Notamacropus eugenii: one gene and its partner. The protein of the gene in region 1 purifies or fractionates together with the protein of each later gene. This does not show direct contact. Links are inferred from orthologs where the notes say so. Each region holds a gene or a part of one and is shown on either strand. Other genes may lie near its edges.

Region 1 (10,665 bases):
TTTGTCAGAAACTATAAATTTTCAAAATTTCAAATAGACACACAATCTGCCAGTTATTAGCTGTCCACTGCTTATATTACCATAGAATCATGGACATCAGTCCTGAGTGGCTAAAAAATTTTAGAATTTCAGAAAAAAATCGTGCTTTAAAAACAAATAAACAAAATCAGTTCTAAAAGATTTCATTACCAGGTATTCATAGCTATCTTCTCTGGGGTCATTGTTTGAAAAAGAAAATACACGCATATACACACAAACAACAAAACTACTATTAAGTTCATTAAAACACAGCATCTCACAGTGTTTGGGTAACTACCAACAGAACATTTGTGAGTTACCAATATTTACTAGGGCCCATAGCGAAAAAGAAGGCTAGAGAAGCCACAATGGAAACAGGAGAACAATTCTATCCCTCAGGGCATTTGAGGAGTTTATAGTCTAACTCTGAAGTTGACAATGACCTCAGGAAGAATGATACTCAGAACCTAAGCAAAACTTCTAGAAGAAGGCCCATAGAGAAATCTATTATCTTGATGAACAAAGCTTTTCATTGGTAAACACTTTCTTTGTAGGAATGCAACGTCATGGAACCTCAACATCTCTAAGTTAGAAGGGACCTCGGAAGTTAGCTAGTCCAATGCCCACCAGACCTCTACAACCTTCCCAGCAAGTGATCATTCTGTATCCCCTTGAAAACCTTCAGGAAGGGAACCCAGTATCTCTTAAGCCAAACCACTCAATTTTGGAACATCTCTAAGAGTTGTTTGGTACCTAAAGGGTAATCCCACCCACTTAGTTTTGCAAAAATAATTAAGACCAACAAAGTGACAAGGGAAAACAAGCATCAGGTATAAAAGGAAAGTATAATTATGGGAAAGCCTATCTAGAGTCAAAAAGGTCTGTCTTCAAATGCTGATTTTGTTACTTTGGTGCCTCTGTGTTGGTGAACAAGTCATTTCACTGCGCTAGGTCTCAGTTTCCTAACCTGTAAAATTAGAAGATTGGACTTGATGATCTCTAAGTTTCCTTCCAACTCTAAATCCTATAATCTTATTTCACTGACATAGCCAGCAAAACATTGTCCTTGACCAGCATCTTGCAGGATCTCACACATCATCTCATCTCATACACCATCTGGTTCAAGCAGTAGCTGCCCTTGAATCCTTCAGTGACATCTCTAGGTAGTGGTCCTCTAGCCTTCATATGACAACCTTAGATGAGGAAAGAATCAACTTCTAGTCAAGGCGGTCTGTTTAAATTTGGATGCCTCTAATTAAGATTGTGTTCCCTTAAATCAAGCTGAAATCTGCTTTTCTACTAATTCCATCTAGTGCTTGTGGTTCTACCACATGAGGACCAATAGAACAGGTCAGATCCCACATGCAAATATTTGAAAAGAGCTATGATATTTCCATTTGGTCTCCTCTTATTTAGGATCCAGAGCCCCAATTCATTCCACTGAGCCTGATATGGGTTAGGTTTGGGGTTAAAGCACAGTGTTCTTTGCATTACAAAAGACACACTGTGGTTTTCACCTGCACAATGGAAGGAACCCTGAGGATACTTAGCCCAGGAAAAAAAGACATGGGGAAGGGGCCATGAGAGGTGCCTTAAAGTCTATTAATGGCTATATGTGGGGAAAGGATTAAATTTATGCTTGGTCCTGAAGGACAAGACATACCAATAGGCTGAAGTTTCAGGAAGGGAAACTAGTTCAGTATAAGGATCACCGGAGGCTCATAAGTTTTGAACTAGAAAGAACCTTGGAGATCACTTAGTTCAACCCTTCTTTCTATAGGTAAAGAAACTACAGCTCAGGGGTTGAGTGACTTGTCGCCCAGAATCCAACAGCTAGTCAATGTCAGAATCAGGATTTGAACTCAGGTCTCCCCGGACTCCAAGGTCAGTTGACTTTTACTATACCAGCTAACCCTCTTTTCTAATAATTAGATCTGTTCAAACACAGAAAGTGATGGGGGTGGGAGGAGAAGAGGGAAAGGGTGACACAAGGGAGGTTGGAGAGAGGTCCTTGTCACAGTTCCTCAGGTGAGCTGATGACTTGTCAGAAGTGCTAGAGACAAGATCCATACTTTGCATGGGAGTTAGACTAGATAAGCCCTTCATTCCTTTCCATCTCAGAAATTCTAAGTCTATGACTACGAAAGAGAAAACTCTACTTGGAGCTTACTACAGATGGTCACCTTGTTCCTTCACATGAAAGTCTCTCCTGAGCTGTGTCTAAGGTAATGTCAACTTGAAAAACATAACATTGAAGTCTTCCATCATGAATCCCGATGTTATGTCATTGTACTGCGTAGGAGTTGGGAAACGGAGAAGGCATTTCCTAAGCAGTCTCACAAAGGAGCAGGACTTTTAAATGTGAATGAAGTCCATAGAAATAAAATTTTAAACAGATCACATAGCCTTGCAAATAAAAGTTCCTTTCAAGGGGGAGAGGGAGGACTCCATACCTTTCATAGTACATGAAACCAGGTTGGATAGTTACATACTTGTCAAAAAAAGGTTTTAATTTCCAGCAATAATCTCTCCTCCTCCCTGTTTTAGCTGACGATGCAAAAAAAAATAAATAAATGTTTCTCAGTGCCTGGAAACACACTGTTGCATACAGATGGAGTTTCCTTTTAAGACTTTTCAGCATTCAAATGCCTGGAATCATCCTTCCATTTCTAAGGACTGTTCTGTTCTGTCTGACCACACAATCTTGCCCCTATTGGTGTAAGAAATTTCTCAGCAGTTCCTGCCATCTGGAAAGCCCTTTTAGTATCTCTGCCCACTGATCCCACATTCTCTTCCAAATCTCAGCAGAAAACAGATTGTTGGGGTTTTGGTTGTTTTTTTTAGAGGGGGGTCATGTTATTTTTATCTACACATTCTCTTTCAACTGCCCCTCCTTCAGCTACTGTCTCTTTGACTTTGGCCAAGGCACCACCCCTCTCTGAGCCTCAGTTTCCCTCTTCTGTAAAGTAAGGGGTAGAGTAAAGTGCACAAGATGATCTCAAGACACTTTAAGCCCTATGACCCTATGGCTCCAAATGTAATTTCTTGGCCTTCATAGGATTTAGAGTTAAAAGGGACCTAGGAGATCACCTTGTTCAACCCTCTCATTTTACAGAGAAGGAAACTGAGACATGGAGAAGGAAAAGTGACTAGTGTAATTCACAGGAAAGCAGGTAGCCCAAATAAAAATAGTCCACAATTCTAGTGCTGCTTGGCAAGGTCTCTCGATCTCTCGATTCCCCAAACCACTTCGGAAATATGGCCTGGAGAGACTAAAAAAATCATTCACCCATTCCTCTCTGGTTCCAACTCGGACATAGGATCAAATGCAGCTGAAATCCTGTTGCCAGTCTCTAATACTCACTCTCCTGGAGCTAAGTACTTCTCTTCAGTCACCAACCCAAAATTAACACCTCTCCCAACCACTCCCCATTCTTCCATCCATCCCTCCTCTCCTACCCTCCCCCCACATACACACACACCTCCATCTGAGCCACTCTGACCAGACGAGGACACCACCAGAACCTTTCAGGGTGACCAGGAGCTCCAAGACTGACCTGGTCCGTGTAGGCGCGGCCTCCCCGCCTTCCCACTCTCCAACCCTGAGAGAATTCCCGCGAACCACAGCCTAGCCCCAGCTAGTCGAGATTAGCTTCCACTATCAGTGAGCTGGGTTTACTGTCCCTTACCTTCGGAGACTTCAAACTCGGCTGTCCCATTGAGCTGATACAAGCACCAGTCAACTTCCTCTTCGCCTGGGGGGCCGCCAACTAGCACACAGAGAAGGGAAAGCTCAGTCAGTAACTTTAGACCCGGCTAGGAGCCCGCGCCTCTGGCCCCCAGCTGCGGAGGGCAGGCTGGCAGGCGGGCTGGGAGGGCTCGAGGGAAGGGTGGGATGGGGAGCATCAGCTGGGAAGAGGGGGTGGGGTAGGGGCGGGGAAGACGAGGCAAAAAGAGAAGAAGAAAAAGAAAAAAGCAGCAGCTAACTAACCCGGCTTCTGTGACATGAGTCTGCCGGAGACTCCTGGCAGGAGGGTTGGCCAAGAAGGAGTGCGCTCCGAGGTTGTTTCGGTGTCGGAGCCAAGGGCTCCCTGGGGTGGGCGCGCAGGGCGCCAGGCGCTGCTCCTGCTCCCCCTCCTGCTGCCAGCCCTCTCCCTCCTCCTGGCAGCCCTCACCCTCCTCCTCCTCCTCCACCCCACCTCCTCCCAGCTTTGGCCCTCTCCTTCCTCCTCCTAGCTTTCCCCCTCTCCTCCGCGTCCTCCTCCCTCCTCTCCTCCCGGCAGAGCTGGGTGGTACAGGCGGGCAGCGCAGACCTAAGCAGCTGCCCGGGGGAGGAAGCGGAGGAGGGCGGGGAAGGCTGGAGGCAGGGAAGGCGGCTCCACTCCAGCTCGGGCTCCGCCCGGAGGGCGGGGAGGGAGCCTGGGCGCCTGCCTGGGGTCTCCAAGGTTCTGCTCGCTGTCATTCTTAGCTCGAGCCAAGCCCCAACAGGTGGATGGATGGTTGTGTACCCATTCGGATCTCAGGAGAGTCAGGGCGGGGGAAGGGGGCGAAAGCGACCCTTCCATGACCTCTCCCCTGGGGAGAAATAAAACTAGGGACCCCGAAGATCATCACTCCGCCGCCCCCTGCCCTTATCCCCTCTTCTGCCAACTAGGAGTGTGGAGAAGGAATGACAAGTAGCCGAAAGCTAGCAGGGCATCTTGGGGTCAGGAAGCAAAGGGAGGTAGGAAAACGAACCCTGGCTTTAAAGTCAGAGGACCTGGATTCGACTCCCTGTCTTGCGGAGTCAGGTTGTGCCTCGGTAAAAAGAGGTGAACCTTTCCAGCTCTCAAGCCCCGGAAGGATTCTTTTCTTCCTTCCTAGACTTAAGTTATGGGGAGATGGCTTAGTGTTTAAAATCTTCTGCACCTGGTTGGCAACTTTCACAGAAATGGGTACCCTATGCCACTCTGGCCCACGTGTTTGTTTTGATGAGTCTGATTTCTCTGGCTCAAGTTCCTTAAGAAAGAGAGAAACGGAGGGAATCTTTCTTCTGACCTCGGGGTGCATGACAGGGGAGGATATTACCTCCCATGTGTTATCTAAGGCTGTCTAATAAAGAGCCCCTTCTTCCCTCTTTCCCTGACTCATCGTGTAGGGCTGGCTCACAGAGTTCTGGGAGCAGAGAGAGGGGGCAGACAAGATAGGAATGCCAGGAATGATCCCGGGGCAGGAGAATTTGTTTCATATCCATGTTGGGCTGCTTGCTGAGGAAAGCAGGTATGGTGCACACCAAGTTTTTCAGAAAGCTCCAGTGCCGGGAGGAGGGTTAGGCAATGGAAGGAAAGAGAGACGGAGCATCAGAAGGAAGAGGATCCATGATGACTTGGGGAGAAAAAGGGGAAAGGTCCTTGGCTACATTTGTTTATTAGGACCACGGAATTTTGAGCTGGAAGGGAACACCAAATCCAAATATTTTAAGATAAGGAAACAGATTGAGAGGGATCCAAAATCAAACATGCAGCAAACTCCCAAACCAGGATCCAAGCCTAGTTTCTCCTCTGCCTAATTCCAGGGCTGTCTCCTTTATTTTAAGTGACTATAAGGTGGCTGGAAGGGCCTCCTGCCCCCTGATAAAACATCCTCACCACTGCCTCCTAGATGACTGAAATTCCACCAGAACTGTTATTCTATCAGATTTTTTTTCTTTGAAATGAAGCAGAGCATTTGTCCTCTTTTAAAATGTAAATGCCTTTGAGAAGTAAATCAGTTATGTCTTCACCTCTGTGAAAATTGGCTTCTCAGAGTCTTTCCAAGGAGAGCTCATCTCTGCAGCCCTTGAACAAAACACCTTCATTACAGCCCTGGGAAGTAGGGATGTGGGTGGTTGGGTGAGTAGGTAGATATTATTGTTCTAATTTTCCAGATGACAAAACTGAGGCCAGAGGTTGAGTGACTTGTATAATGTCACAGAGTTAGTGACTGATCATTGCAGCTGCAAGTTCAGGCCTTCTTTGGACTCTAAGAGCAAGGTTTTCCCATTACGTCCCTTTGCCTCCAAAGTATGCCCAACTTGGGCTTTTGAGTAAGTTTTGATGGGGGAAGGTGAAGAGAGCAGAGAATAAGAGGGCACTTAGGTACCTGAGACAAGAGGGCAAAAGAAACAAACCACTGAGGATCTAATGAGATTAGGTAATTAATTAATTGTTGCTTATATTGATCATATGTAATTAATTATTAAAGCCAACTATTATTAATTTCTATATTTATTAATTTTTGTTTTCCCAGGGTAGACTCTGATGGAGTCATTTCTTCAAATAGACAAAGGACCTTGCTACTACATTCTCAAAGCAGTCCTGGGGTAAAGAGGGAGGGAAATAACAGCATTTACAATATCTTGTTTTTCATCAGCCAACAACTTAGTCTGAAAATAGGAAGAGGATGGACCTCAGCATAAGCAAATTGGCAATTTGGGCATAAAGATTTGGGTCACAGTAACAATCTGGTTTCCTCCAGATCACTCTATTAAAGTGGCTCTCAAAATGACTAATCACCAACTCCAAGGTTCTAGTGGATCCCAGGCCTTAAACTCCTTTATCTCTCTCCTGTGTCTACCTCCCCCACTTCCTACTAAGGCCTTCTCCTCTAAGGCTATCTTCCATCTGCTCTGTATTTATTTGTCTCCTTCATTAGAATATAAGCTTCTTGAGGGTAGGAATTATTTTTGCTTTTTCTCTATCTCATCGGCACTTAGCATATGTTTATTATGTGCACATGATAAACTATTAAGAAATGCTAGTTTGTTGGTTGATGGATTGATTTGTCATTGTTCTACTCCCTCTTTCTTGAAATTCTTCACTCCCTTGGCTTTTGCTTTCCTGACTTTCTCAACCTCTTTGGCCAGTGGTCCCCTTTCCCACTCCCTAAAGGCAAATTCTCAATGGTACAGTTAACTTTCTCTCTTCCTCTTCTCCTCCAAACTATCCTACACACTGTTGCCCAAATAATAACAATCCTAACATGCACGTTTCTGGTCTTCTCACTCTTTGACTCAAAATGACTTCCCACTTCTCACTTTTGTTAAAATGGTTTAAGAGTCTTTGGCCTGGTATTCAAAGCCTTCCCCCAACTATGTTCTAACCTCAAGCTTCCTTTTTCTTGACCTTATGCTCTAGTCAAACAGTGATGTCCACTGCACTACCAAAACTTCCTATTTTCTTCTCCTGCCCTCATGCCTTTGTAAGCCTTATGCTATATCAGGGTAAATTGTTATTATTTCTTTACTAGATTGTAAAAGTAGCTTGGTATGGTAGCTTTAGGACCTAGGAAAACCTGGAGAAAAATCCACCTCCTTTTATTTACAAGTACTGTGTGATTCTGGGAAGACCTCTTAATCTCTCAGTCCCAGGCAAGACCATGAATTGCTGATCTTAGCTAGGGAGTTCACTATATAGATAATAATTAATCAGGGATTGGCTCAGTGTGAATGTAAATAGCAATTGTTTCTGTTTTGGCCAGAAACCCTGAGGTGCTTCTCCTCCCAGACAGATTTTTTTTTTCTAGGTAAAAGAGACCATTTTCTGCCTCATACCTTACCTATCCTTAATCACTGAATGAGCTTTGCCACTATCAAACTGAGACCTCTTAAAAATCTTTAAAAAGGTTAAGGTGTCCTACTGCATCCAGGGCTCTCTCTAGTCATCCGGATCTATATCTCACCACTGGACCCAGGTGACTCTGAAGGAGAAAGTGAGGCTGCTGACTTTGCACAGCCCTCCCTCACTTAAATCCAATTCACCTGCATGTCATGGCATCATCTCTCTGATGTCATGGTCCTTTTCTAGAACAAAAATAACAATAATAATTAACAAAAATAATAGCAATGACTATATAGTACCTACTATGTGCCAGGCACTGTGCTATGCACTTTGCAGATAATCTCCTTTAATCCTCAAACCACCCTGAAAGGTAGGTACTTATTATTCCCATTTTACTGATAAGGAAACTGAGGCAGTCACACAGCTAGTGTCAGAAGCCAGATTTGTATTCACATCTTGCTGACTCCAGACCCTCTGTTCTATCCACTGTACCACCTAGTTGCCTCTAATAGATTAAAATCACAAGTTTCAAGACAACAGAAAAAAACTAGATTGTATATTCAGAAAATGTATCTTATTTATCTTTGCACTCCCCAGATAGCAGGATAACTGGTCTGTACTTATCAAGGCTGCGTTGAGTGAATGAATCTGTAAGCAGCCTGGTATAGTGGAAAGATTACTGGATATAGAAACAATGGTGTTGGGTTCTGTCCCAACTCTTACTGACCCTGTCTGTTTGACATTGGCCAAATTATATCACCTCTTTGGGCCTCAGTTTCTTCATCTGTAAAGTAGTGATTAATATGTGCACCCCCTACCATGAAGAACTGTTGTAAAGGAATCATTTTGTCGACTTTGAGGTGATCTAGAAATGGTTTTTGTTATTATTAATAATCCTACTTTCCAAAAAAAAAGTCTCCTTAAGTTGTTCTAATTTTCAATGAAGTAGAAGGTTAGCATAGAAAAAGATGGGAGGAAAGGGGGGGGGGGTAGTGAAGGGAGTCTAGAGGTGTAAAGTGAGTAGAATTCCTGAACTGTTTGAGTCAAGCAAGAAAGAAAGAAAATACTGTGGGTATTTTCTACCCTAATGGGAAGAAGAGAAATAAAAGCTAGGACTTATGGGTTAAAACTTTTAATGGGGCCAAGCGTTTTTGAGGGAAAAGACAACTGAGTGAGGTTGGTGGGAAGTAGGGGGAAACTACAATAAAGAGAATTACATTTCTTGCCAGAACTATGTTTTGGCAGTCTCTCTACTAGGATACTATATTAGGTTTTTTTTTAGTGATGTTACTTAGGTTACTAGTACTGAGTGCTGTCAGAGGGAGACTCTGCCAAATTGGCTTTTCTTCCAAATTAAATGCAACACTAATGTTCCCAATTTGAATAAAAATACAAGAAATACCAAAGGGCTGGTGCTTAGAGATGAAAAGACATGTCCTCATTTCACAGAGTCAGTAGATTTGGTTTTCTGCCCCAGCTTTACTCTAACTTGGGATGAGTCCGGAAAACATACGTCATGAGCTGTATGGGGGAGAATGTGTCCAATTTGTATCATTTTCGACTGGCCATTTCCCAGCTTAGCAGGTGGGGCTTCGTCTGCAGTGGTCAAGTCCCAGGGCCAAGGTTCTGCATTGAGGCTGTGTGTGTGACATCTGTTCTCAAGAAGAAGACAAGAGATGCTTATTATAATGAGAACAGGAAAACAGGAATCTTTGCCATGGAAAAAAGCACTGGGCTAAGCTGGGCTAGCACTGGACTTGGATTCAGGAAGACAAGTTGAAATACATCCTCTACCACTTACTAGGGTGTCTATGGGCAAGTCACTTCATGTCTTACCCTCAGGTTCCTCATCTGTAAAATGGGTATAATAATAATATCCACACTACTTGCCTCACAGGGTTGTTGTAAAGAACAAGCTTTGTAAACTTTAAAGCACTGTATCATCTTAATAATAATTCGAGTATCTTGCTTTTATTCTGGCACTATCTGTATGATCTTGAGTAAGATAATTTCCTTCTCTGGGCTCAATTTACAGAAGCTCTATAAAATGAAAGAACTGAACTTGATAAACTCCATGGTGCCATTCATCTCTGATATTTTGTATTTTGAATCTAAGATACAGATTCTTAACCTAGGAGCTAGGAACTTGTTTTCTTTTTTCTTTTTCCACTTCATAGTATTTTAATTTTTTTCCAATTACATGTAAAGATTCATTTTCAACATTCACTTTTATAAGATTTTGGTTGTTTTCTTAATATTATGAAAACTGTATTTCAAGAGAACTGGTTTCCTTTGTAGTCCTATGTATTTTATTTTATGCATTTAAAAACATTCTGAGAAGGGGTCTGTAGGCTTCACCAGACAGCCAAAGGGTTCTAGGATATAAAAAAAGAGTAAGAACTATTCTTAGATCTCTTCTAGCTCTAAAATTCCACATTCAAAGATCCCTTATCTCCAACATTCTATGTTCTAAGCTTTCTTAGGTATCTCCCATTCTGTGTTCTACGTTGTGTTTTCTATATGGGTCTGGCTCTCACATTTTATGTTCTAAATGAGGTGTCTTTTAGCTTTGATGTTCTATGACTCCAAGCTATTTTGATTGTTTGCCAAGAAATCTAATCTCTTGAGTTGTAAATTAATGTTTCCAAAGACAATTGCTACATGGGGACACTGTAATCAGTCACAGACTGTAATTAGCCTTGGGCTCCCTCTGTGGAGTAGGCCAGGCAACATTTTGCTGTTATGGGGGAGGTGCACCTATAGCAGGCATTCTCAGCTTTTTTTGAGGCATGGACCCTCATGACAGGCTGGTGAAGCCTATGGACTCCTCAGAATTATGTTTCTAAATTCTTAAAGTAAAATACACAGGATTACAAACGAAACCACTTTAAAACAGTGAATTAAATTATCAAAAAATTATTTTTAAAAAAATTCATGCACCCCAAGTTAAGAACTTCTACAGAAGGAAATCCTTGAAATGTTCTATTCCAAAAATAAAACAAAATATTCTTTGGGTAATAGTTTCTAACTCCCATGGTAAGAAAGTTACAGATATATCGTTCTGTTGCTT
Region 2 (10,325 bases), on another chromosome or scaffold:
TATAACATGCTCAACAAACAACATTTTGATGCAATGAAAAAACCTGACTGATTCCAGCTATCAGGTAAACAAGTAAATCACTAGATAGGAAGAATGCCCAAGTACAATCTTACAATCTGATAATCACCATTACCAGCAGGCAGGAAAAAAAAAACCAAAACCCTGGTACTAATACTTTTTATCATATATGGACAGCACTTAATACTTTTAAAATTCTTTCACATAAATTATTGCATTTGGACATTGATTTGAACTTCCATTAATAAATAAGGATTCATCAATTCATTTCTTAGATTCGGGTCCTATATCCTAAGATTCAGTTTAGCAAGTTACTTCCTGACTACTGTATCCATGGCATTCCAGAAGAGATAAAAAGAGTAATCAAAAAACAGAATGAATTGAAAGGAAGAGATACTTGAATCAGAAAGATCAATTAGGAGATTAAGTGCAATACTAAATGAGAAATTATGACTTTTCTCCTCAAAATTTCATATAGTACTCTATTTCATACCTCTAATACACATCATATAATACTTTTTTTTTTAAGCTATACATCTTTTTGTCTTATTCTTCTACTAAACTTTAAGTTTCATGAGGACAGGGGCACCTTGCATCTTTCCCAGAACTTAAAACATAACTGCACACAGCAGGTACTTAATGTTTATTGAATATTGGTGAATGATACTGAATGAATCTCAAATTTAAGTAACACAAAATCAATCAATAAGTATAAAGAATATTGACAATGTGAAGTACAAGTAGACAAGGGTAATAATATAGCTGTTTTGAAGTATCCTAAGAGATATAGAAAAGGAATCATCTTTATCCTGGTTGGATCCTGACAGCAGTAATGGGAGCAATGAAGTGGAAGATTTAACGAAGGGGCAGATTTAGTGTAAGAAAAAACTTCTCCCCAAATTAGAGTTATCCAAAAGCAGAATGGGCTGCCTGAAGAATCAGCCATATCCCCATAAATAAAAGTTTTCAAGCAGAAGCTGAGTGACCACTTACCAGAATATTTGTTATATTAGGAACTTCTATTCTGGATTAGATGACCATCAAAATTTCTTTCAAATCAGATTCTGAAATTTTGTGAACTTCCTGCCATTTTCAAGTGACTAAAGTTATCCCTCAAGGTAATTATATCTAACTACTTCGTCTAAGAAAATTCTAGACTCTAGAGTCACTGACTCCGCTTTTCACCCAGTGAATAAGGTTTCACAAATGATATGCAGGCAAAATGCTTTCACTTCTTATTTGATAGGTAGGAAACTATGAAGCTTTACATTCACTTGAGTTGTTGATGCTGGGACAAACAATACCGAAGGGATTAAAGACACCAAAACTAGCAACATTACCTACATTCTCTCAAATTTCTCCCTAAAGCTTATACCTCTCTTTTGCATTTTTCTCCTAGTCAATCTTATATCAGTATCTTTCTTCAACTGTAAACTCCTTGAGAGTTTACTTGCAGCACAGTACCTAGCACATTTCTTATGACTGAGTTCTCCAAGTATATCTTTTGCAAGGATCAAAAATCCACCATTTTGCCCTCCATCGCTCCCCATTCCTATCCCAATAATAAACAAAACCTTTGTAACAAATACAGTCAAGCAAAATAAATTCATACATTGACTATGTCCAAAAACACATATGGTCCTTCAATTTTCTATAGTGCTATACCACTTATCTGAACCACTTCTTTGTATTCATCACATTCTACCTTGTGGCACTTTTGTTCATTCAGAAATGTTTAGTAAGACACCTACTGTTTAAAAGTAATGTACTAAGGGATAGGGGAAATATGAAGTTTAAGATAAAATATCCTTTATACACATCAAATTTACAGTTTAGAGTACACATTTATGTACATGTCTTGCCTATTAAGACTGTTAAGTTCCTTGATGGCAGGTACCGTGTTGTTTTTAACACATCTTTGAATCCCCAATATAAGACAATACTTAAGAATTTACTGAATATATTAATCCACCAAATTTAATATTAGCTATTTTTTAAGACTGATCCAAGGAATAAAGACGCTGTCTCCAGAAGTATAATCTAAGAGTTTGTAGAAAGATATCTTGCAATTTAAAGAGATATAGAAATATTCCCAAGGTCAGCCAGACATTAACAACAATTAAAGAATATTTTGCTATGGGAAGTAGATATGCCGGTTCATGACTTGATGATTATGCCTATGACAGCTGTGGGGGAAATAAGTATATCAGAAACTTAGTCCTTTGACTAGTGCTCATCTGGGATGTATAACTCAATAAATTAGTGGAGGAACCAATACAGAAAATGCTCAAACAAGTCCTACATCCCAGAACAGGTGTTTTCATACATATGTGTATGTGTGTGTATATAGACAAAATACTTGCCAAATGATTTAATGATCTTCCTCTCCTCTCCCTATCCTTGTGACCTCATATATAACACTTTAATATACAAGTCTCTCATGCATGTTATTATAATTATTTGTATGTAGTGTTCAAAAAGTCTTTATGGGCAGTTTAAGCTATTAGAACTATTAGAACAAAAGCTTTAAAAAAAGCTTAAAGTTTTTAAATCTTAATGCAAGTTTTTTTAAAATTGCACTATGATTTCTGGAACACCCTAGAGATATTATATAACCCTAATAGCCTGTTACTATTAATAACTGTGCCATAATGAAGAATGATGGATAAAGAGAATCATGAAAAGATTTACATGAATTCATCTCTGCCTCCTGGTCTCCCTGGCTTCCTTCAAGTACTTCACTACTAAAAGCTTACCTTTTAATGGAAGCCTTTCCCAAACCCTTTTAATTCTAGTGCCTTCCATCTGTTATTTCCTATTTTTCCCATCTATGGCTTGTTTGTTCACAGTCTCTCCCATTAGACTGTGAGGTCCTTCTGGGTAGGTGTGTTCTGCCTTTCCTTAAATCTCTGGAGCATAGCATAGCTCCTGTCACACAGTAGGAGGTTAATAACTAAAGCAGTACTAAAGCAGAGGTAGGGAAAAAACACACAATGACTGCAGACAAGTAAACAGAGAATAAATGAATACTGTGAAATTATAATGACCAAGTTTGGCCCCCAAAAAAGAGAAATGAGAAGGTACTTCCCCAAACCTTCTTTGTAGAGGGAGGGAGCTATGATTCTGGCACATTGCACACACTGCTACCCTTTTTCAACATATTGATTAGTTCTAAACGGTTCTTCCCCTTCTTCCTTATATTTTATTATGAGAAATGGCTCTCTGGGAAGAGAAAGAAGAAGGAATTCAGTAGAAAATATATGCTATGAATAAAACATATCAATGAAATTTTAATTTTTTAAAACGTTTGCAGAATTGAACTGAATTATACAAGTGGAGGGCAAAATTGGAATTAAGGGCTATTGAGGTCATGTCAGTAGGGCTACAAACTTGAGACTCACCAAAAGCATCAAACATATCCTAGACATCTTGGTGAACACACTCTCCTAGGCTGACTCTATGACTAACCTTCTAGGGATAAGACTTACCTAGGATTCAAACCTACTCTGACCCCGTGGGAACTGTGTTTATTAGGAGACATAAAAAGCTTCCAAGCGTACTTTGTTCCAATTCAATAAACACTAAGTGGCCATTATCATAGTCTTCTGTCTTATGTTCCCATCTGACCCACCCCAGGAAGCAGTGCTTCTGAAGTTGAGGGCCCTGCTGCCTGAGTACCAAGCCCTGAATCATTATCATTTTACAGCTTCAGCAAAGTGCCTGCCACATAGGAGGGCACTTAGGCTAGTTGGCTGACTGACTTCAACCTTTTTGTCCTGGATCCCCTTGGTAAATTGGTAATGCCCATGCACCCCTTCTCAAGAATATAAAATACATGGAATTACAAAAAAAAAATCGTTATGAAAATATATTTTTTTAAAAACTTAAGGATCTCTGATGCTCCAAGAGGAAAAGTGACCACAGTGAGGAAGCTAGGACTAAGACCCAAATATTCTCCTGACTTCCAGTCCAAAGCTCTTTTCAAATATGTTTGTGGTTTTAAAAAAATCACTCAAAAGTACCAAACTAAAAATCCCCTTGCACTCTGGGATACTTGATTTCTATTACATTACTAATTTGTGAATCCACAGAAAATGTAAATTCAAAGCAACATGCCACTAATGAGACTATTAAGCCACCCTAAAGTCCTAAATGGGAAACCACACTGACCCTCAAACTTATCAAAGTTTAAAGCGTCGTGATGGGTCCGGCCCATGGGACCTGCTGAAGCACGAGGGCAGCGCAGGATGACCTCTCCACTTGCTTTATTTCATTTCACCAACATAAATCACTACGGGTTTGGCTCCATCGGTTAACATGCATTTATTAAGAGCTTACGTGATGCCAGGCACTGGGATAAGCTGGGGATTCAGGCCAAGTCAGTAAACATTAAGTGCTTGATAATATTTAATATATATTTTAGACTTTAATAAGGGCCAAAGTTTGAATTAAGAAGAGCCTGAACCTAACAGTCCCCTTTGTTTAACTTAGAGGATGCCTTTTGATGTCAAGCAAATGGGACTTCCTTACCAGACCCTTCTTCTAGCATCCTAGTGGTAAGAGAAAAACACAGATACCTTGGGTTGTAACTTCAGCTTCCTCAACTCTGTTAAGATGAACAACTTCCAAGGCCTGTTTAGGACAGGATGTCTGAAATCTGGGTGATGGGACTTTTTCCTTATCTTGAATCACAAAGGCATGCTACGGAAAGAAGATGCCCATAGCTTGGGATCATAAAACCCAACCGATGCTGCTTTGCTTACAGTGTGTTTATCTAAGAGAACTCCTTTCTCATGGCAAAATGTATATAGGCCAGAAGATTTCTGTACTGGGGAGCCAGCACATCTTTCTGGCTCCATAATGCATTATGTTACCGGTTTCTTTAATAGGGGACTGATTAATTAATTAAATCATAAAATGTATTTATTTAGCCTGCTGCCTTTTCTTTAACAAAGTTTTCAGGTCAACATGCTTAATACGTGCCCGGCACCACCCTGAGAGCAGGGCACGCACAAAGGGCAACAGGCAGTCCCTGCCCACAGGGAGCTCACCATCTAGTGGGGAGACAACCCACGAACAAGCTCTGCGCGGAACAAATAAATTGTTAACAGGGCCTGGGCACGGCGTCCTGAACCTAACAAACGCTGAATCAACGTTCTTAAACCGAGCGAAGGCTCTGCCCTCACCGGAGCCTCCCACTCCTACAGCGGAGACGCGTTAAGAATCAATGGGGAACCGGAGGGGATGTCGGGGGGACGTCGAGGGGACGTCGGTGCTCCGCGGCCGGGGATCGGGGCAGGGGAGTAGACAATCGAGACCCACTGGCTTTCAAAGGAAGCCGGCAGCTACGCGTTAATGGGCTCAAGCTGCCCCCCAATCCCGGGCCCCGCGGCTCGAGCCCAACCCAGTCCGGAGCCGTTTACGGCCGAGCGCGCTCCCAACGGCCACGGCCTGCCACGCGCACCCAAGAGAGGAGGGAAGTCGAGGCTCCCCACCCACCCCACCCCCGAGCGCAAGGAGGCGCCGCCACACTCGTAGCCAAAGCAAAGGGTTGAGCGAGCACCCCGCCCTCCTAAACTGCCTCCCGCCGGCGGTGGAGCCTGAACACGCCGGGATACCCGCCGTCTCGCTACTGGCCTCACCTCCTCCTCCTCCTCCTTTCCCCATCGCGAGAACTCCGGCAGCCGCTGGAAGAGGCACGACCATCTCCACGGGATAGGTAGGGGAGTCGGCATAGGAAAAAGACTTTAGAAGAGACAACCTATTTATTCTGCCTCAGTATCCAGATATTTCGGGACGCTTTCAGGTTTAGGGTGAAATAAAACACTTTGTCTCTTGGGAAAATCTGTGTTCAGGGGAAGAGATTTCAATCAGTCTTTGGCAGCGTCTTCAAACCTCCCCCCCGCCATTTTCTACATAATGGTTGTCTCCAAGGGTTGCTGATTCCAGAAAGTGCTACCTGGCGTGAAATTAGTCTCGATCGAAAAATAAATCACAAAGCGTCAACTGCGCCTGCGCAAAGCGCCGAAACACCGTCAGTCGCGAGAGCGAGCAGTGGTTTCCCTCCTACTTAGTTCGTCTCTGCCGGTTGCTGGGAGGGATTCCTTTCTAGCTGGACCATGTCTTCCATGGGTACTCTGGCATTCGACGAATATGGCCGTCCTTTCCTCATCATCAAGGACCAAGAGCGCAAGTCCCGCCTTATGGGACTTGAGGCCCTCAAGGTAACGGGTCCCGGAATCGTTGGCACCCGAAAAACGGGAGGCCCCGGGAACCGGTGTCTTCTGCGCGTGCGCAAGGGTTGGGGAAGGGTTCCGCCATGTGCTCTGGGGAAAGACCGAGAAGTTCTCCTTATTCCTTATTCTCAGTGAGCTCCCTACCCCGCTCCAGACTCACGCGTGACCCTTCCCCACCCCCCGCCCCGATCTCCAGAAAGAGGAGCTTCCTAGGCCCTTCCCAACAGCGAGACCACAGTGGTTACTGGGTTTACTGAGGGTGGGACAGTTTAGAAGCTGATATTTTATTAGATTTTATCTAAAAGAGAATAGCATTACGTTTTGGGAACTTAGACCTTCCACTGATCCAGTTTTTGTGTTTTTATGTCCTCTGCAGGGTGTATCTAACAGCTTAAAACTGTAGTAAGACTGTAGGGACACCTTATGAATAAAGATTTATTGTAGACTTGAGCCGTATTCCACAGGTAACTATAGTCATTTAACCGAAACGGTACCTTCTGGGTACCCTCCCCTGGATCCCACCAGTGTACTACTGTCGGTAATCCTTACATATTTAGTACTTTAAAGGTGTGGTAAATAAAACAAGCTCCTTGGCCTTAGTGGATTGAGCTCGTGATGGAGTGGGGAAAACGTGTGTGTGTGTGTAAGATTTCAGCAAGGTGTAGGAAGAGAATAAAACAAGTCAGGGAGGCAACAGAGCATCTAAAAGAAACAAGGAGTAGATTAGTTTGAAGGGATGGGCTATAAGGGAAGTGGGAGGATTTAATTCTGGAAAGGTAAGGAATCAGTACTTAACTTTGCTAGGTTTTCAGGAAGTGTATTTGTGGATTATTTTAGCATAGTACGCTGGAGGCAGGAAAAACCTCTCAGGAAGCCAATTTATTTGTATCCCTGTGAGAAAGAATAAGGATCTGGATTAAAGTATTGGGAGTAGGAATAGAAAAGGAGGTGATTCCAGACAAACTGTAGGCTTTTTATTAGCCGTGATTACAGCTTTAAAAGCTTAAAAAGATAGGGGCTATGCTGTCTTATCTACAAAGTAAGTGCACTTAGATGAAAAATTGAATTTACTTTGTATAATGTTGCTTACCTAATGCCATCATAGATGCTGGATAATTGTTAGGTTTTGCAGGAGCTTTTCAAAAGTTGAACCTTAACTTGAGAGGAATAGATCTTATATTCAGGATGGACTGAGTTCAGGTTTTACCTGTGGCATAGTGTAGCCTACTTTAAAATACCCCTGTTGCATAATTATGGACTTATGAGTATTCTTGTTTTGTTATAATTTGCCTTTGGAGATAGGTTTTGATAAAAAGAAATAGTGAAATTCTTTTGAGTGAAAGAAGTTAACTTAGGCAAATTCCGTTATGGAATAGGAACTTGAGAAAATGTTCATGTTAAAAAAACAAATAGTTCCTTGTATCTTTAGTATTAAGCATAGTATTAAGGTATATTGTAAGAATTGTATGTATATTTTCATAGCTCTTATTGTCCTTCAACCTGTATCCCACTAACTACCTTCAGTTGTAACAATGCTTTTGGGTCTGTTGACCTTTAATTAAGCTTGATACAGTCTAGGCATCTAACTGTTTTCAGCCAATTTTCAGGCTATTAAATAAAGTAGGCTGAGTCCCAAGCAGTTAAGTAATGTAGGCTAGGTGGCCAAGTAGGTAAGCATGCCTAGGCCTAGAGTCAGGAGGACTCCTTCTAAGTTCAAAACCAGGCAGGGAAGCAGATGCAAAGTGGTAAAATAGGTACATAAAATGGTGACAAGTAAGGTAAACTTTAGGGTATTGACTTCATGTTATTTTGATATTGAAATAAGCCATTGATTAAATGAACAAATACTGAAACATTATTCTAGCATAAATTTCTTTTCATCTTGCATCCATTAATAGGGCAGCTAGACTAGGCCGCGTAGTAGATAGACTGCCAGACTTGGAGTCAGGAATACCACAGTTCAAATCTAGCCTCAGATACTTACTAGCTTTATAACCCTGGGCACATTATTTAACTCTGCCTCAGTTTCTCATCTGTAAAACAAGCCGGAGAAGGAAATGGCTGACCACTCCAGTATCTTGACCAAGAAAACCCCAAGTTGAGTTACTAAAGAATTGGAAATAACTGAATAACAAGATATAGACAAACCTTTTCAGACTTATTCTCGATTCTAGCTAGATATTAATTCCAGGGAAACAATAGTGAATGAGCAAAGAGGGATAATATTATGCAAGTCCTTATAACATCACCCAGATTAGGCTACTTCAAGAAAAATTAATTCAGTGATGTGAAAGTAATGACCTTTATTTAATCCCTCTCTGCTCCTCATTAAAACATCAGTCCCTAGGTAAAAGTTAAGGAATTTACCTTTTTCTCCAAAAAGACTGAAATAAGAAACAAGTAAAAATATCAACTTATCACTGGCTTCTTTTTTGAGTTAGATTCTTGGATATTTAATGGCCACTGCCTCAAATATTTTTACAAAGGGTAAAGATGGATCAGAGATCTCGGTGTGGGTATGTTCTCAAAGTGTGGTCAGGGTCCCCTAAACATCCACATAGTCAAAACTTTTCATCATAATACTAATATGTTAATTTCTAATGAGTAAATATGGCTAGACTGTAACTCATAGAAGCTGGGGGAGAAGGGAGGATGAGAGCGCTTTGATTTTAAGAATGAGGGGCTCCTGAAATCAAACGAAAACCACTGATCTAGAGTAAGTTCTTAACTAGAGGTCCATAGATCTTTCTTTGGGTTCAGGAACTTGGATAGGGGAATAATTTTATCTTCAATACAGTGAAACTGGCCTCCTTGCTCAGATAAGGCAGTCCATCTCCCAAATCCTGGCTTTTTCACTGGTAGTTCCCTATTCCTGGAACTCTTCTTTGCCTCTTCAGCTCTGTCCTTTGTCTTCACTGGCTCCTTTCAAGTTTCATTTAAAGCCCCACCTTCCACAAAAAGACTTTCTCAGTCCTCCTTAGTCTTAGGAACTGCCCTCTGAGATGATCTTCACTTTTTCATGTCTGTGTCTTGTTTGTACATACTTGTTTGTATGTTGTCTTCTGCATTTGACTGCAAGTTCCCTTGAGATCAGGGATGATAACTGGTTTTATTTTCTGAGGGTTTTTTTTGGTTTGTTTTTTTTTTTTTTTTGCTCCTTTGTATTCCCCCCTGCTTTTTGGAAAAAAAAAATTTCCATCCTTTTTTGAGGGGGGGGCAGCACTTAGGTGGTTAATAAGTTGTTGTTGACTTGGAGTGGGGGCTGTTTTTTAACCTGTAACTGAGATACATTGTTTTCTTCACTTCTGAGAAAGGATTCATAACATGGAGCCAACAACCAGAGGAGTCCATGGGCTCCACAAAAAAGACTAAGAACCTGTGATCTAGAGGAATGATTGAAGTCTCACCTGTGTGTTTGTCTAATGTATTTGCCTTCCAAAGACCCTTATTGTTGTTGGATAAAAATGAAAACCAAGAGTGTGGCCCATAAAAGGATTATAAAATGGTTTGAAATAGGGAGACATGGAAGATGACTATTGTGTTGGAGTATCAAGTTGTCAGGATGAAAAGAAAAGCACTTGTATTTGAACGCTCACAAAGGTTGTAGTGAAAAATAAAATTGTGTATATCTTTGGTGCAGAATTAGTTGATTTTGCTATTGGGGCAATGGTTATACTGGTTTGATTTCATTCTCTTAAATATTTAGTGATTGTTTTCTACACTTGATATAAAGGAAATATACGCATAGTCCTTGTCCTCCATGATCTTAAAATCTAATGGAGATGAAATATTTGCAAAAAAAAAAAAGTATATCGTAAGGCAGCAGTGCCATGAGTTAACAGTCTAGGTGAAGAAATAGTTCTGATTATTTCTGACCTGGAATCCAAAAATTCTGCCTAGAGGTGCTTATTTATTTAACTTGACGTTGAAAAATGGTCATAGAGTTTCCATTAAGAGATAGGATAGTGCAGTTTTTCTAGATAGAATGTGTATCACTAACAAAGACAGGAAAGAATAGTGGAAGGGATGTCTTAAAACAACAGGTAGGCTATAGTAGGGGAGAGAATATAG

The links.
Region 2: the proteins of PPP2R2C (region 1) and CCT5 purify together in Homo sapiens (affinity purification with mass spectrometry; 4 studies listed by BioGRID and IntAct, counting the BioPlex papers as one, with this or other methods). This does not show direct contact. The link is inferred for Notamacropus eugenii from reciprocal best matches to the Homo sapiens genes PPP2R2C and CCT5.

Annotation. Positions count from the first base shown.
Region 1 is NC_092877.1:59,217,220-59,227,884, reverse strand, and holds the start of PPP2R2C (protein phosphatase 2, regulatory subunit B, gamma), read right to left. Parts: upstream 4,171-10,665; 5' UTR 4,026-4,170; coding exon 4,010-4,025; intron 3,794-4,009; exon of another isoform or gene 3,789-3,793; coding exon 3,708-3,788; intron 1-3,707. UniProt on the Homo sapiens protein: The B regulatory subunit might modulate substrate selectivity and catalytic activity, and might also direct the localization of the catalytic enzyme to a particular subcellular compartment.
Region 2 is NC_092875.1:359,481,379-359,491,703, forward strand, and holds the start of CCT5 (T-complex protein 1 subunit epsilon), read left to right. Parts: upstream 1-6,023; 5' UTR 6,024-6,137; coding exon 6,138-6,242; intron 6,243-10,325. Other genes in the region: ATPSCKMT (ATP synthase subunit C lysine N-methyltransferase), read right to left, coding at 4,596-4,719, 5,661-5,753. UniProt on the Homo sapiens protein: Component of the chaperonin-containing T-complex (TRiC), a molecular chaperone complex that assists the folding of actin, tubulin and other proteins upon ATP hydrolysis.